2 linked regions of the Canis lupus familiaris genome follow. The protein of the gene in region 1 purifies or fractionates together with the protein of each later gene. This does not show direct contact. Links are inferred from orthologs where the notes say so. Each region holds a gene or a part of one and is shown on either strand. Other genes may lie near its edges.

Region 1 (6,525 bases):
ACTCCCATAGTCCAGCTCTTTCAGCACACTGATTTATTTTATCTATATAAAGGTTACCCTTTCTATCTGGTGCCCCCAACTCAGCTGAAAGCCCCATAAAGGCAAGGATTGTGTCCTACTCGTTTTTGAAAATCTCCTTCTGCCCTGCAGCTTTAGTGCAATGTTTGAACTGAACTAAACTCACTTTGCTCAAGATTTTATTAAACAACACTTCAAAGGAGGTCAAAACAAATACAAAACGCCTATTGCTATTTTAATCTGCACATGAAATTGTGTGTGTGTCTGTATGTATAGCGACCTAGCACAATCATTCAAGATCCCAAACCTATGCTCTAAAAAACAATAAATATCCAGTACAAGAAACTGCCTCATATAAGCAATCCCCTAACTCAAAGAATACCAAACATAAGCCTATCCACACTTTATATATAGAGGTTAGAGGGAAGTAAACAAATTTTTCAAAAAAAAGTAGAAATGTGAATTGTGTTAAATGTTAAAAAAAAAATGGAAAAGCCATTTCAGGAGAGAACATCTCAAGTAAAAACAGCTTGGTTCCAATGGGAATTACCTCCTTATAATCTCCATTTCGGTTGAGCCTGTAACCCTCAGGAGTATGAAGCTGAACGGTTGTATTATTGATCACTTCTATGCAGCACTCTTGATCAGGAAGGCTCAGTGGGCGCACCCTACAGTACACCTGAAATTACAGGAATGTGCTTCCAGAATGAAGGTTGACTACTTTGCATTTAAGCTTCTCATTCACTCATCCAACATTTGGTCTCTCAGCATAAGAGATTTATATGAACTTAGAGCTATGAAAACCAAAACTTGCTACCAGACATTGTCAGCTATAAACAGATCTATCAGGTATGAGGAGCTTTAAATACACTTACAATGAAAATAAATTTGGATGACAAAAGCATCAAATCACTATTATACTGGCACAAATTGAGTAAATTTATATTACCACTAATATAAAAATCTCTAAAATTGATAACATATCACACAATGAGAATTATCTGAAAAGCTGTTAGAATTTGTTGATATTGGATATCAAATAAAACTTGACAGCTTAACACTATATACCAACAAATGTAACATATATACAAATAAGTATAATATACAAATGAGTAAGCACATCATCTGAAACACATCTTCTTAATCAGTGATAGGGTCGAGGAAGAACTATTCAGCTGAAAATGCAAAGCATCAGTTTCCCCCCACCTAGAACAAGAGACACATTCTGGTGCCAGTGAAGGAGAGAGAAAAATATCCCAGGGCAAAACAACCTTCTTTTATTTGCCATTTGTCTTTAAAAGAAAGTCCCAAAGCCTGAAACTCATGAAGTACATGCAGTTATGATGAGTTACTAGACTGAATTAAGCTGTTCTACACCAGTGTCTTTACGGAGCATACCATCAGTCACTATTTAAAAGCCCCAAAGATGGGAGAGGATGCTCATCCAAGCAGAAATTTCCCTGCCTTCCAAGAGAGTAGAAGAATTCTCCGGGACAGCTGAAGAATATCTTTCATTATCTAACTTTTCAAGTTATAGTTAGTTATAGGAGTTATGCAACTGACATACCCAAACACTTCATTTTACTAATGAATCCTATATAGAAACAAAACTTTAAAGCTGGGACCAGACTTACCCATTTAACTAATGTTCTCTGACTCTGCTTCCACAGCTCCATCCCTTCCAAGCATACACAGAAGACAGAAGAGGACAGAAGAAAACACACACACACACACACACAAATTCACAGGGAGACCTTACCCCCACTGGGTCTTTAAGACTTGTTTGGGATCCTTTCTTCACTAGAAGTTTCCTGGGCGTCTTAGTCCTCCTGGTCACAGGTTAAAAAAAAAAAAAAAATCAGTTCAAAATAACATACAAAAACCTCACCTATAATTCAGAGACAGTCTTCCTTGGGTTTATAAAGTTATCCCTGAGCAGTTCTAAAACATGACACCCCAAATAACGTTAAAAATAAGCTGCATTAGAAGAATGTTTGTGGGGGAAAAAAAAAAGAATGTATGTGGCTCACCTAATGCAAAAGTATGGCAAATTGGGTTCAGGAGACGTCTTCGGTACTAGATAATTTTCTATATTTAAACTAGCTTGCATATTTTCTTGGACGACAATTTTACAGAAGCACTACAGATTCGAAAAATCCATAGATAACTGAGACCTGGTTTATCCTCAAGACCTACAGGCACACCAGCGCACACACTGCCCCAACATCCATCGCTAAGGCAGGCTGACAGGTGATCAACTTCACGAAATGATTAAAAAAAAAAAAAGAAATCCATTCTTTCAGCAAGATGTACATCTACACATTCAAGGAACAAATTATCGGAGTTCTCTAAGCCATCATCCTTTGTCCTCGAACACAACTGGGTCTTCCCACTGCCATTTCTTGCCCTCTTACAATCAGAAGCTATTTTGGGGCTTCATCAATCAGGCTGTCGGCTTTCCTCCACACCGCCAGCCCCGACCGGTTAAGAAATCAATAGTGCAGATGAACATTTAACAGTAAAATTAAGCGCCGCAGAGACTGCATAGAAAATCAAGTATTTTCACGACACGTTTCGAGACCAAACAAGCAAGCCAATTAGCGTTTCCAATACAAAATATTATAGTGGGTCTCCTAAACTCAATATATATATACATATGCACATACACATATATATGTATATATACATATCCCATATATACATATTTACATATATATGCATATACATATCCCATATATACATATATGTATTATACATAAGCTCGATATATATAAACTCAATATATATACACATACACATATATATGTATATATACATACATATCCCCTATATATACACATATACATATATATGCATATACATATCCCATATATGCATATACAATACATATATATACTCTATATAAACTCAATATATATACACATACATACATGTACATATATTATACATATGTAAACTCAATATATATGTACACATACACATACATGTATATATACATACATATCCCATATATACATATGTGTATATATACATATTATACATAAACTCAATATATATAAACTCAGTATGTATATATACACATACACATATATAGACACATACATATCCCATATATATACATATACACATATATGCATATATATATCCCATATATACATATACATATATACATAAATAATACATATATACTCTATATAAACTCAATATATATACACATACATATATACATGTATATTATACATAAACTCAATATATATACATACACATATATATGTATATATACATATCCCATATATATACATATATACATGTATACATATACGTGTGTGTATATATATGTGTGTGTGTATATATATAATATATATATATGTGTGTATATATATATATTTTTTTTAAGCTAGAAGGTCTTTACTCGGGCCCCTAGGATAACCAGCTGCTCTGCCGCAGCGGGCGCTGCTTCCCGGGCGGTGGGGCCGCGGCCTGCGGGCCTGCGGGGCCTGCGGGGCGGGGCTGTCACGCGGCCCGGCGCCCGGCGCGCTCCCGGGGCTCGGCCTGCCTCGACCTGGAGGGCGCCAGGGCCCCCCGCGCCCCCGCCCCCGCCCCCGCGCCCGCACCTCCGCGGCGCCCCCGTCGCGGGGCCCCACCCGGCACAGAGCCCCCGGGGAGGGGCCGCCGCGGCCCGGGCGCCGCGCCCACGCGGGGGGCTCCCCCTCCGGGGCCGGCGGCCGGTGCAGACCGAGGGGACGCGGCCGGTACTCACGCTGGCTTCATGGCGGCGGGCGCCGGGCTCTGCGGGGCGGCGGGGGCGGCGGCGGCGGGGGCGGCGGGGGCGGCGGGGGCGGCGGACCGCGGGAAGCGGGACCCGGCGGCCCAGGCGCGGCGCTCCGGGAGCCCAGGTGAGCTCGCGCGCGGCGCATTTCAAACGGGCCAATCAGCGCCCGCCCGCGGGGAAAGGGGCGTGGCCTCGGAGGAAAGGGGCGTGGCCTCGGAGGACGTGCCGGCTCTGCCGGAAGCGGGGCTGGTCTCCTAGGCGACCGCCGGGCGCGGGCGGGAGGTGCTGCTGCGGGGCGGACCTCGGAGGCGCTGAGACCCCGCCCCCCCTCCCACGTTCCCCGCCGGGCGGCTGCGGGGTTTTTCCCTGCGGCACAGGAAGCCGGCTGGAAGGGCAGGGCCTCGGGGGACCCCCCAGCCCGCAGCGTTCCCGCCCGGGAGCCGAGCCCTGCACCGCGGGCCCCCTACCTGGCCTCCACCCCGCCCCGCACGCGGGCTCGCCCTGTGCCTCCACCCTCCCCGGATCTCCCTCGCCGCTGCCCCCGGCCCTTCCGCAGACACGCGCTGTTCCATCCAATGCCTGATCCCCGGCGCTGTGATAAAGGAAACCCCACGCCCAAGATGGAGCCCCAGCCCCCCCTCCCCCAGAAGCGTGGTCAGAACGGGTCAGCCAGGGCACCCATGAGGGCACCTGTCACGGGGACCCCTCCTCTCCCCGCCCGCACCAAAGGAAGAGGAAGAGGAGATGATGCCCAGAGTAGGACCCCCCCCCCACCACCGCCTTCCACCCCAGGTCCTTTCTCTTGTGTCACTGACCCCTCCCTGGCCCCACCCTCCCTCCTATGAAGACCCTTCCACTTAGGGTCCTGGGAGCACCTCTCTGCTTGCTGGATGGGATGCCCCCCGATTCGCGAGTCAAGCCAAGTTGATCTTTTCAATGACCCCGCTGAATTTTTGTGTGGCCACATACAGAGATGAACGGATGGAGTTTGGGCCTTGCCCTTGAAGAGCAATGGCCAGAGCAGCTCTTTCCTAAAATGGACAGATTCTACCCCACTTTGGCCCATCGCTCTCAAATCTGTGTCTACATCTGTGTTCTCACGGGGCTCTAGGCCCATCTCCTCGCTGGACACCGGTGAAATGGACATAATTTAATATCCCTGGCCCATATTGTTACACACAAGGATGGTCTTTCCTGATGCTTTTATGGTTTTTTTGCGTGTGTTTGTTTGTTCGTTTGTTTTTTTTTTTTTATGTATAGGCCTTTGAACCATCAGAAGTTTGTTGTTAAATGGCAGGTTGGGATTTGTGTTATTTAGGAACTGGGTGTAGCTGCTGGCTACTTACCTCTTTTACCCTGCAGGTAGCCTTGGTCTCTCCTTTGGAACTCTTCTCACCAAGACCATCACCCCCCACCCTACCTTACTTGACCTCTCAACAGCACAAAAAATACTGATTCCTCTTTTCCTATGCCTTCAGCTTTTTTTCCTCCTAAGCTCCCTAAGCCCCTCTTTCTCAGAACTCATTTGTGAGGTTTTTTTTTTTTTTTTTTTTTTTTTTTTGCGGGGGGGGGGGTTGTGTGTGTGTGTGTTGTTTTGTATTTTGTCCCTTAAATGTTGTAGCTTAGGGTTTTGACCTGGTCACTAGCTGAGGCCTCTCCTCAGGCACCCCCAGTCACTCTCCTCGCTTCACATACCATTCAAATTTGTCCTTGTCCACTTCAGACCTATATGTCCAATTGCCTTCTGGATTCTCCGTGTGGGTGTCCCACAGGCACCTCATACCTACCGCACCCTAATTGCTTCCCCTGAACCTGCTACCCCACAGTGGATGGTATCACCATCTACCCAAGCCACCCAAGCCTAGGGTCCCAGGTACCATCTTGGACTTTTGCCTCTCTTTCTTTTCCAACCATCCACTCACCACATCTTGAAAGTTCTACCTATTAAATAGCCTTCAAACCTCTCAATCCATTTCTCTCCATCCCCTTGGCTACTCAGCATCTTGCAGTATGGATGACTGCAATAGGAATCCAACAGGCTTCCCTGCTGCTACCCTCCGAACCTACTCATAAACCACAGATCTGGTCATGTCACTCCCCTGCTTCTAACACTGCAGTAGCTCCCCATGGCTAGACGCCCTCCACAGGGCTCTGAGGCTCTTCCTCTCCAAGCCCATCACTTGTCATGGCCCCCAGCACCCCTCCAACCACATTACCTCTCCGTGCCCCAGGCTCATGGAGCAGTCCCTCTGCTGGCAAGCTCTCCTCCCTGCCTTCCTCTGACAATGCCTCCTTACTCTCAGTTCTCAGCAGATCTGTCAATGACCTGGCACTGGATGCTGGGCCCCTACTCTATACCACCCTCCCCACCCCACCCCCCATCCACCCCGGTCCCCTGCACCTTCCCAGCACCTGTTGCTTTGTTCAGATTGGTCACCACTGTTCCTTTCTGTGCCCGCTACCAGCTCATCTCCACAGCCTCACTAGGTGGTGCTGTTGCACCCTGGCACCCAGCAACGGAGGCTCTTGTTTGGAAGGAATCGATGCATCCAATCCAGCTGAGGATCCAGTTACATGGAGCCCCCAGCTCTTCTGGCCAGTTTTTTCTTCCTCGCTTCTAATCATACTAAAGCTCTCTGGCTTATTCTCTTTATTTTATTTTTATTTTTATTTATTTGAGAGCGAGAGAGCACGTGCAAGCAGGGGGAGCGGCAGGCAGAGGGAGAGGGAGAAGC
Region 2 (6,833 bases), on another chromosome or scaffold:
TAATTTTTATATAGTTTTGGAGCTTTCATTTGTGTTTGAAGCATAAAACAGTGAAACAGGGTACACTGAGAAATATAGTATTTTGTTTCATAAATGCAAAATTTAGTTTATCTGTAAAGTATTTCACAGAATGGAAATATTTTTAAATTTATCAATTTTGAATGAACTTTCAAGAAATCAAAAAAATGATCAGTGGTATGATTTAGTAGTTGCCTAAACTGTTACTTTTTACAGATATTTTGGTTTTATTGAAATTCACTTACTTCTCAACTGCTATGACTATATACAAAGTTAAATTTTTTCACTATCTGTATTTTAAGTTTCTGGCAATTATTTTGTTTTATGATTATTACTTAAAATAATTTATTGTATGATGAAACACTCTAGATATCCAATATTCTAACCCCAGACAAAATTAGTATGTCCCTTTCCTTTTCCGTTTGATCTTATTTGTAATATAAGTGGCATTCATTCATTCAAATAATGATGTAACTTACATTGACAAGTCTCTGCCTCTATGAAGCCTGCATTCTGGGGGAATATAAACAGAGGATGGCTTTCAAAAATAAACTTTTTAGACCTAACACAGTATCAGTGCCAGGTAGACGCTGTTAGGTGCTTCCAGCTGCTTCTGTTTTTCATTATATTACTCCTTCCACTGAAAAATAAATCCAAGCCCAGCAGATCAATCTCCATCTACTTGGAAAAACTGGAATCTGCTCTGAGAAAACTATTATGTTGGTTATGTTGGAATGCAACAAAATATAATACCTCTATATGCCACATATAAAAAAAATTCCTACCTCAAATACAATAATAAGTACTATGGCACTTTATAAACCACTTTGAGATTCCAAACCACTGTGTGAGGTAGTCAGGGAGATACCATCATTAGGGGGCTAAGAGGAGGAGCTGCACATTTATGATTTAATCTCAGCTCTGTGACCCTCAAAAAACACCTTAACCTCTCTATTGATATGTAAAATGTTAATGCTCAAAATTACTTCATATGATTGCTGTGAGGATTAAAAATAGATTTAAAATATTTAGTACAGTGTTTGCCATTACAAACAACAAATGGTGACTATTTTTTTTATGAGTGATATTATCCTTCGTCTGATTTTACAGATAAAGAAAATGAAGATTAGGAAGGTTGAGGCCTAAGGATTCACAGCCATAAAACGGACAGGCAACACTTTGAACCCTAATCTTCTCACTCCAAAATCCTTCCTTCAGTTTTATGACAGTGGAAAGTAAGATGGATCAAGGCAGATGGAAAGTAAACTTGGATCAGTCAGAATATTAACAACTCCAGTAAGTTTATTTCAGCTGAAGCTTATAAGGTTATCACCTGACCCATCTACCATTATCAAATATTCTTATATTATGAAACAAGTATGTTATCATATGCTTCTATAGCATCTTCCTTAAAAAATAACAAACCCTATTTCCTGTTTTTCCTCCCCTTGGTTCCTTTATTTTAGGCTTCGCCTTACTTTAAGTCTAACTTGATCTCTAACTATTTGCTACAAAAAAGTTTCCGAAAGTCTTCCACAAACATTTTGTTATTTACTCTGAAACGGAGTACACAGAGCAAGGTCGGCACTACACTCGGTTTACACATGAGATAACAAACTTAGCAAGGTTAAATGCCTTAGATCCAGGTCACAAAAGTAGTCAGGCTTTCTGACTCTAAACCCTAGTGCTAAGATTATTATTGTCTGGGATTTTTAAAAAAATACTTTATTTATTTGTTCGTTCGAGAGAGAGAGAAAGAGAGAGAGAGAGAGAGAGAGAGGCAGAGACCCAGGCAGAGGGAGAAGCAGGCTCCACGCAGGGAGCGCAATGCGGGACTCGATCCCGGGTCTCCAGGGTCACGCCCTGGGCTGAAGGCAGGCGCTAAAGCGCTGGGCCGCCCAGGGATCCCCTCGTCTAGGATTCTTAAAGAAAAGCTAGGTGGTTAAGTTACTGCTCAACACACTAACTTAAGTATGAAAAGTTATCACCTTAAAAAGTTGAAAACGCAGCAAGGGACTGGAACTCTGGTTAACACTGTCATTTTTAAGTAACAGGGTCTGGTCCCGAAGAGATGTGTAAGACAGGGCTCGAACACCGAAAAGCGGGGTTTCCTGGCAAACCCAAGCCTGGTAGAAGCGCCGCACTGCTTGGCCGACTCCACACCAAACGCGGGCCTCCCACGTGTCTTTCAGGAAATGCACAGAACACGCGGGATGAGGGAGGCCAAGGACGGGCTGGGAGACGTACAAACAGCATATAGGGCTTTCCCGGGTGACTGAGGACGCGCGGAGGCTGGGGCGGGCCCAAGGGAACTCGCTGAGCACCTGGCGGGCACCGACGTCCGGAAGCAGCCTGGGGGAGGCTTTCACCGCGGGAGAGGGCTGGCCGCGGGCCCCGCCCTCGGGAGCTCCCCAGTGGATTTGCCTGCTCTGGTTCGAGAGGGCTGGGGGAGGCGAGAGCGCGCCACAGGGACGCAGAAAGTCCGCGTACAGCGCCAGGCGGGCACGGGTCAGAGTCCGAGTTTCGCGGGTCTGGGGCCTGACCGCAGCCGCGAGGCCTCCAGGCCGCCGTAGCCCCGCCCCCTCGCGCGTGGCGCCCATGACGCTGGGCGCGCGGGCCGCGCTCCTTACAGAGCTCGCTCTCACCGAACGGTCGGCCTTGCTGCGCCTGCGTGATCGGGAGGGGAAGTGAGGCGGTTTCTTCGGCGCCTTTTCCGGCGGCGGCGGCGGCGGCAGCGGCAGAGCTGGGAGGAGGCGGTGGAGGCCAGAGGGAGCCCGCGCTCAGGGCGGCGGCTTGAGGTAACCTCGCGAACTGAGCTGGAAGGACGAGTCACCTGGGCCTCCGCTCCCTTCTGGCCTGCCGGCAGTAACTCCCTTCTTCCTCTCTGTGTCTCTGCAGGCGGCGCACCGGATCCCGGCGAGGATCAATGACCTGACGAGGCGCCGGAGCCGCGCTGACTCTCGGGTGGCCTGGGTCGGTGGTGAGCCCGGTGCTCGTGGACCGGCGGGTGGGCCGGAGGGCTTCGACCTCCCGCGGCCGAGTGAAGAGAAGGCGGAGGAGCGGGAACCGCGGCGGCGCTAGCGCGGCGCTTGCGGGGGGAAGGGCAGTTCCGGGCCGGGCCGCGCCTCAGCAGGGCGGCGGCTCTCCCGGCGCAGACTCAGGGCCCCGGCGGCGGCGGCGGCTGGAGGAATCAAGTTGTGCGGTCGGTGATGCCCGAGTGAGTGGCGAGCCTGGGCCTCTGCCCCGAGGAGGCAACTCCCACGCAGGCCGCACGGGCGCCCTCGCGGCCGGGAGGCTTCGTTTCGGTTTCGCGGCGGCTGCGGCGTAGTTGGCTGAGGGGACCCGGGACACCTGAATGCCCCCGGCCCCGGCTCCTCCGACGCGATGGGGAAGGTGCTATCCAAGATCTTCGGGAACAAGGAAATGCGGATCCTCATGTTGGGCCTGGACGCGGCCGGCAAGACAACAATCCTGTACAAGTTGAAGCTGGGCCAGTCGGTGACCACCATTCCCACAGTGGGTTTCAACGTGGAGACCGTGACTTACAAAAACGTCAAGTTCAACGTATGGGATGTGGGCGGCCAGGACAAGATCCGGCCGCTCTGGCGGCATTACTACACCGGGACCCAGGGTCTGATCTTCGTAGTGGACTGCGCCGACCGCGACCGCATCGACGAGGCCCGCCAGGAGCTGCACCGCATTATCAATGACCGGGAGATGAGGGACGCCATAATCCTCATCTTCGCCAACAAACAGGACCTGCCTGATGCCATGAAACCCCACGAGATCCAGGAGAAACTGGGCCTGACCCGGATTCGGGACAGGAACTGGTATGTGCAGCCCTCCTGTGCCACCTCAGGGGATGGACTCTATGAGGGGCTCACATGGTTAACCTCTAACTACAAATCCTAATGAGCATTCTCCACCTATCCCCCGGAAGGAGAGAAATCAGAAACCCATTCATAGGATTATCGCCACCATCACCTCTTTCAATTGCCACTTTCTCTTCTTTTGAATTTGAACTCTGGAGTTACTGTTCTACGGTTGGGGAGGGGGGGGGGGTTTAGGGGTTTCCTTTTTTGTTTCTCTTTCTCCCCCCCCCCCCCCTTTTTTTTTGCTTTGCATTAGGATGCTCCGATCTGACATTTGACATGACCACAAAGTGCTAGATGCTCTTACTGACTTCCAGCAAATGGGATGGGGGAAATATAGCAGTTTTTGGTAAAGTCCTTTATAATAATGGTTTGATTTTTTTATTTCGAGAGAATCTTTTTTGCAATGTATGCTTTTTTCCTTTTTGCCCAGTTTCCTTATCACTTGCTGTAGATGGCTTATTTTGCATTCATGCAGACTATGTTGCAAGTCTGTTTCATCTAGTAAACTGAAAATTATTGCTTAATCAAACTGCCGTTTGTCTTTTATATTTAAGGCCTTTACTCCTCCCTTATGAGTTTTACCTTTAACTTAGTAATTTCAAATGTGACCTTTTATATCTAAGACCAGTATAGTAAACTTAGCCTACAGTGGCAAATAATGAGTAATATCATTGTAATATGTTCCAGTTGCACATCAGTATGTTAAACAGGTAATGTAAGAAGTTCTTTGAAATGTCAGCTATTAAGTTCTGAAACATACATCATGCATGAGTAGGGCTAAAACGCAAGTTCCTTATTACATAGCTAACTTACACTGCATAAAAAGATGAAAGTGTAACCCGTCAACAGATTTTTTTTCACTGCAAAAGTTAGCAACTTTGCTGTGTTTCCCTCTTTTTTAACTTTAAAAGTAGACTCTTTCCAGAAAATGGAGCAATAATGGTGTAGGCCACACACAGATGAGATATCTGTAGATATTTTCAGTGACATTGGGGCAAAACTGGAATATATACTTTTACCACATTTCAAATGTCTAAGACCAATACTTTAAAAGTTACTAGAATGTTTACTTTGTTCATTAATAAAAGCGTTTAACAATTCAAATTATACACATTTTCTACCTAGTTGAAAGAATACACATTCCTGTTTTCACATTAGAGCAACTGATTAAGCTGAAGATAGAAGTTTTTTTATAATTGAGTGATCCACATCTCCATTAATTAGAACACTGGAAAAGATGTTTTATAAAAAAGGTATTTAATTCTGTTTGATTGTAGGATTAACTCATACAAATAGATCTCCTGTTGGTTCATTAATACACTATCTCCTTTAAGGAAGGAAATGTGATGAATGAATGATGTGTAGACTTGAGAAATGACAATTAAAGGGGAAGTAGGATGAAGAAAGAACCTACAGATGACAATGAATGTAAACTTATTTTTCTTCAAGGGTAAGCAGTGTGCTCACTGGTGATATCCAGATCCTAGCAAGATTACTTGCTTAGCTTGTTAGGACCCGTAACTAGCTTATCGAGACCACTATGATGATACCTTGAACCAAATGTTAATGCTTGATACAGAATTGTGAGCAGCATCTGGTTCTCATATAGCCTTAAGGATTAATTTTAGAGATCCTCAAGGAATTAAACGTAGGGAATTTAAGAAATGTAGACTGCAAAGGCAGTATACAGGAAAAGGTGGAGTGGGTTTTGTTCAGGAGGGTGTCTGAAAACTAAAATGGAGCGGGATATCATGGTACATAGTTGGACAGTATTGGTCCTTCGTGCTTTGGCCATATTGTATAATGGAGCTTTTACCAAAGATGTATGAGAAGCATAAGGTATAAAAAGTTAACTATTGAAAGTAAAACTCTGACACATTTTACTTAAAGCAGATGAGAAAAGGTGCTATGTTGTAGGCTCCTGATGGTGCAGAGGGATTTTTTAATACAAAATGCAACTAAGGTATAGAGTTCTCAGTTTTGCTTTAGAAGTATTTCTAGAAATGAAGCTGACAGACCCATCCGAGAACATTTTAGTTGCTTTTAAATTTCCCAAAGCTCCACCATAAATCTAATTCTTAGTGTTTTAAATGATTGCATTTTAAGGTACATAAACATGGGTTATACAAATATCAATGCTATAGTAACATCTTTAGACAAGACAAGCACAAAGGTATAAATGCCTAAACTGGAGGAAACTTGAAACCCTCATCTTAATTCCTAAATGTAGTATTTCTAACTTGTGACAGATTGATAGGCAGCCATTTTTTTGTGTTTTAAAATAACTGGGAGCATAGTTAAAATTTTATACATCAAGTGATTGCTATTGAATGTTGCAGGTGAGATGTGGTTATTTTTAGTTTATTTGAAATGTCTAACTGAAGGGGGGTGGGGGGAGCAAATATTTGAAATTTGGAAAACCCTAAACTTTTGGTAAGAATTTGTAATATTCATTTACATTTTCTTTAAGGATATACAAGGTTGGTAATTGATGTAGTTAAATTGAACCATAACCATTGGTGGTCATGGGGCAGGTAATTGTAGCCTGCAGAAAAAGTTATAATCTAGGAATTTAAAAAATAAGATCCTGAAGTTTTTGTTTAATTGCATCAATTTCTGTGTTTATGTGAATTTATAAACTGCAGTAAGTTTTGAATGAGGTTAATCTTGTCTAATATAAGTAAATGAGTCTGTAGACTTGTGATCTCCCCAAACTAAAAAAGTACAGTACTTGGAATTGTGTTCTTTATGGTTGTAGTGTTGGTAAAGCACTAATATGCAGAAAATAAAGGAATTACACAGTGCAGTTTCTCACGTTATGTTACTCGTTTGGACTAGATTAAGTGGGACATGTGTGTTGGGCCGTTATTCTCCAGGGATGTATGGTATAAAGTGACTCGATTTGGGAGTCACCAAGCTTTTATAAGAACAAAAAAGAAT

Evidence for each region.
Region 2: the proteins of KIF23 (region 1) and ARF6 purify together in Homo sapiens (affinity purification with western blotting; 3 studies listed by BioGRID and IntAct, with this or other methods). This does not show direct contact. The link is inferred for Canis lupus familiaris from reciprocal best matches to the Homo sapiens genes KIF23 and ARF6.

The regions. Positions count from the first base shown.
Region 1 is NC_049251.1:33,742,202-33,748,726, reverse strand, and holds the start of KIF23 (kinesin-like protein KIF23), read right to left. Parts: upstream 3,832-6,525; 5' UTR 3,790-3,831; coding exon 3,779-3,789; intron 1,848-3,778; coding exon 1,778-1,847; intron 698-1,777; coding exon 569-697; intron 1-568.
Region 2 is NC_049229.1:26,666,782-26,673,614, forward strand, and holds ARF6 (ADP-ribosylation factor 6), read left to right. Parts: upstream 1-2,654; 5' UTR 2,655-2,816; exon of another isoform or gene 2,817-2,916; 5' UTR 2,917-3,402; coding exon 3,403-3,930; 3' UTR 3,931-6,699; downstream 6,700-6,833. Other genes in the region: uncharacterized protein LOC119876490, read right to left, coding at 2,007-2,618. UniProt on the Homo sapiens protein: GTP-binding protein involved in protein trafficking that regulates endocytic recycling and cytoskeleton remodeling. GTP-bound form plays an important role in the transport of multiple palmitoylated proteins form the Golgi to the plasma membrane.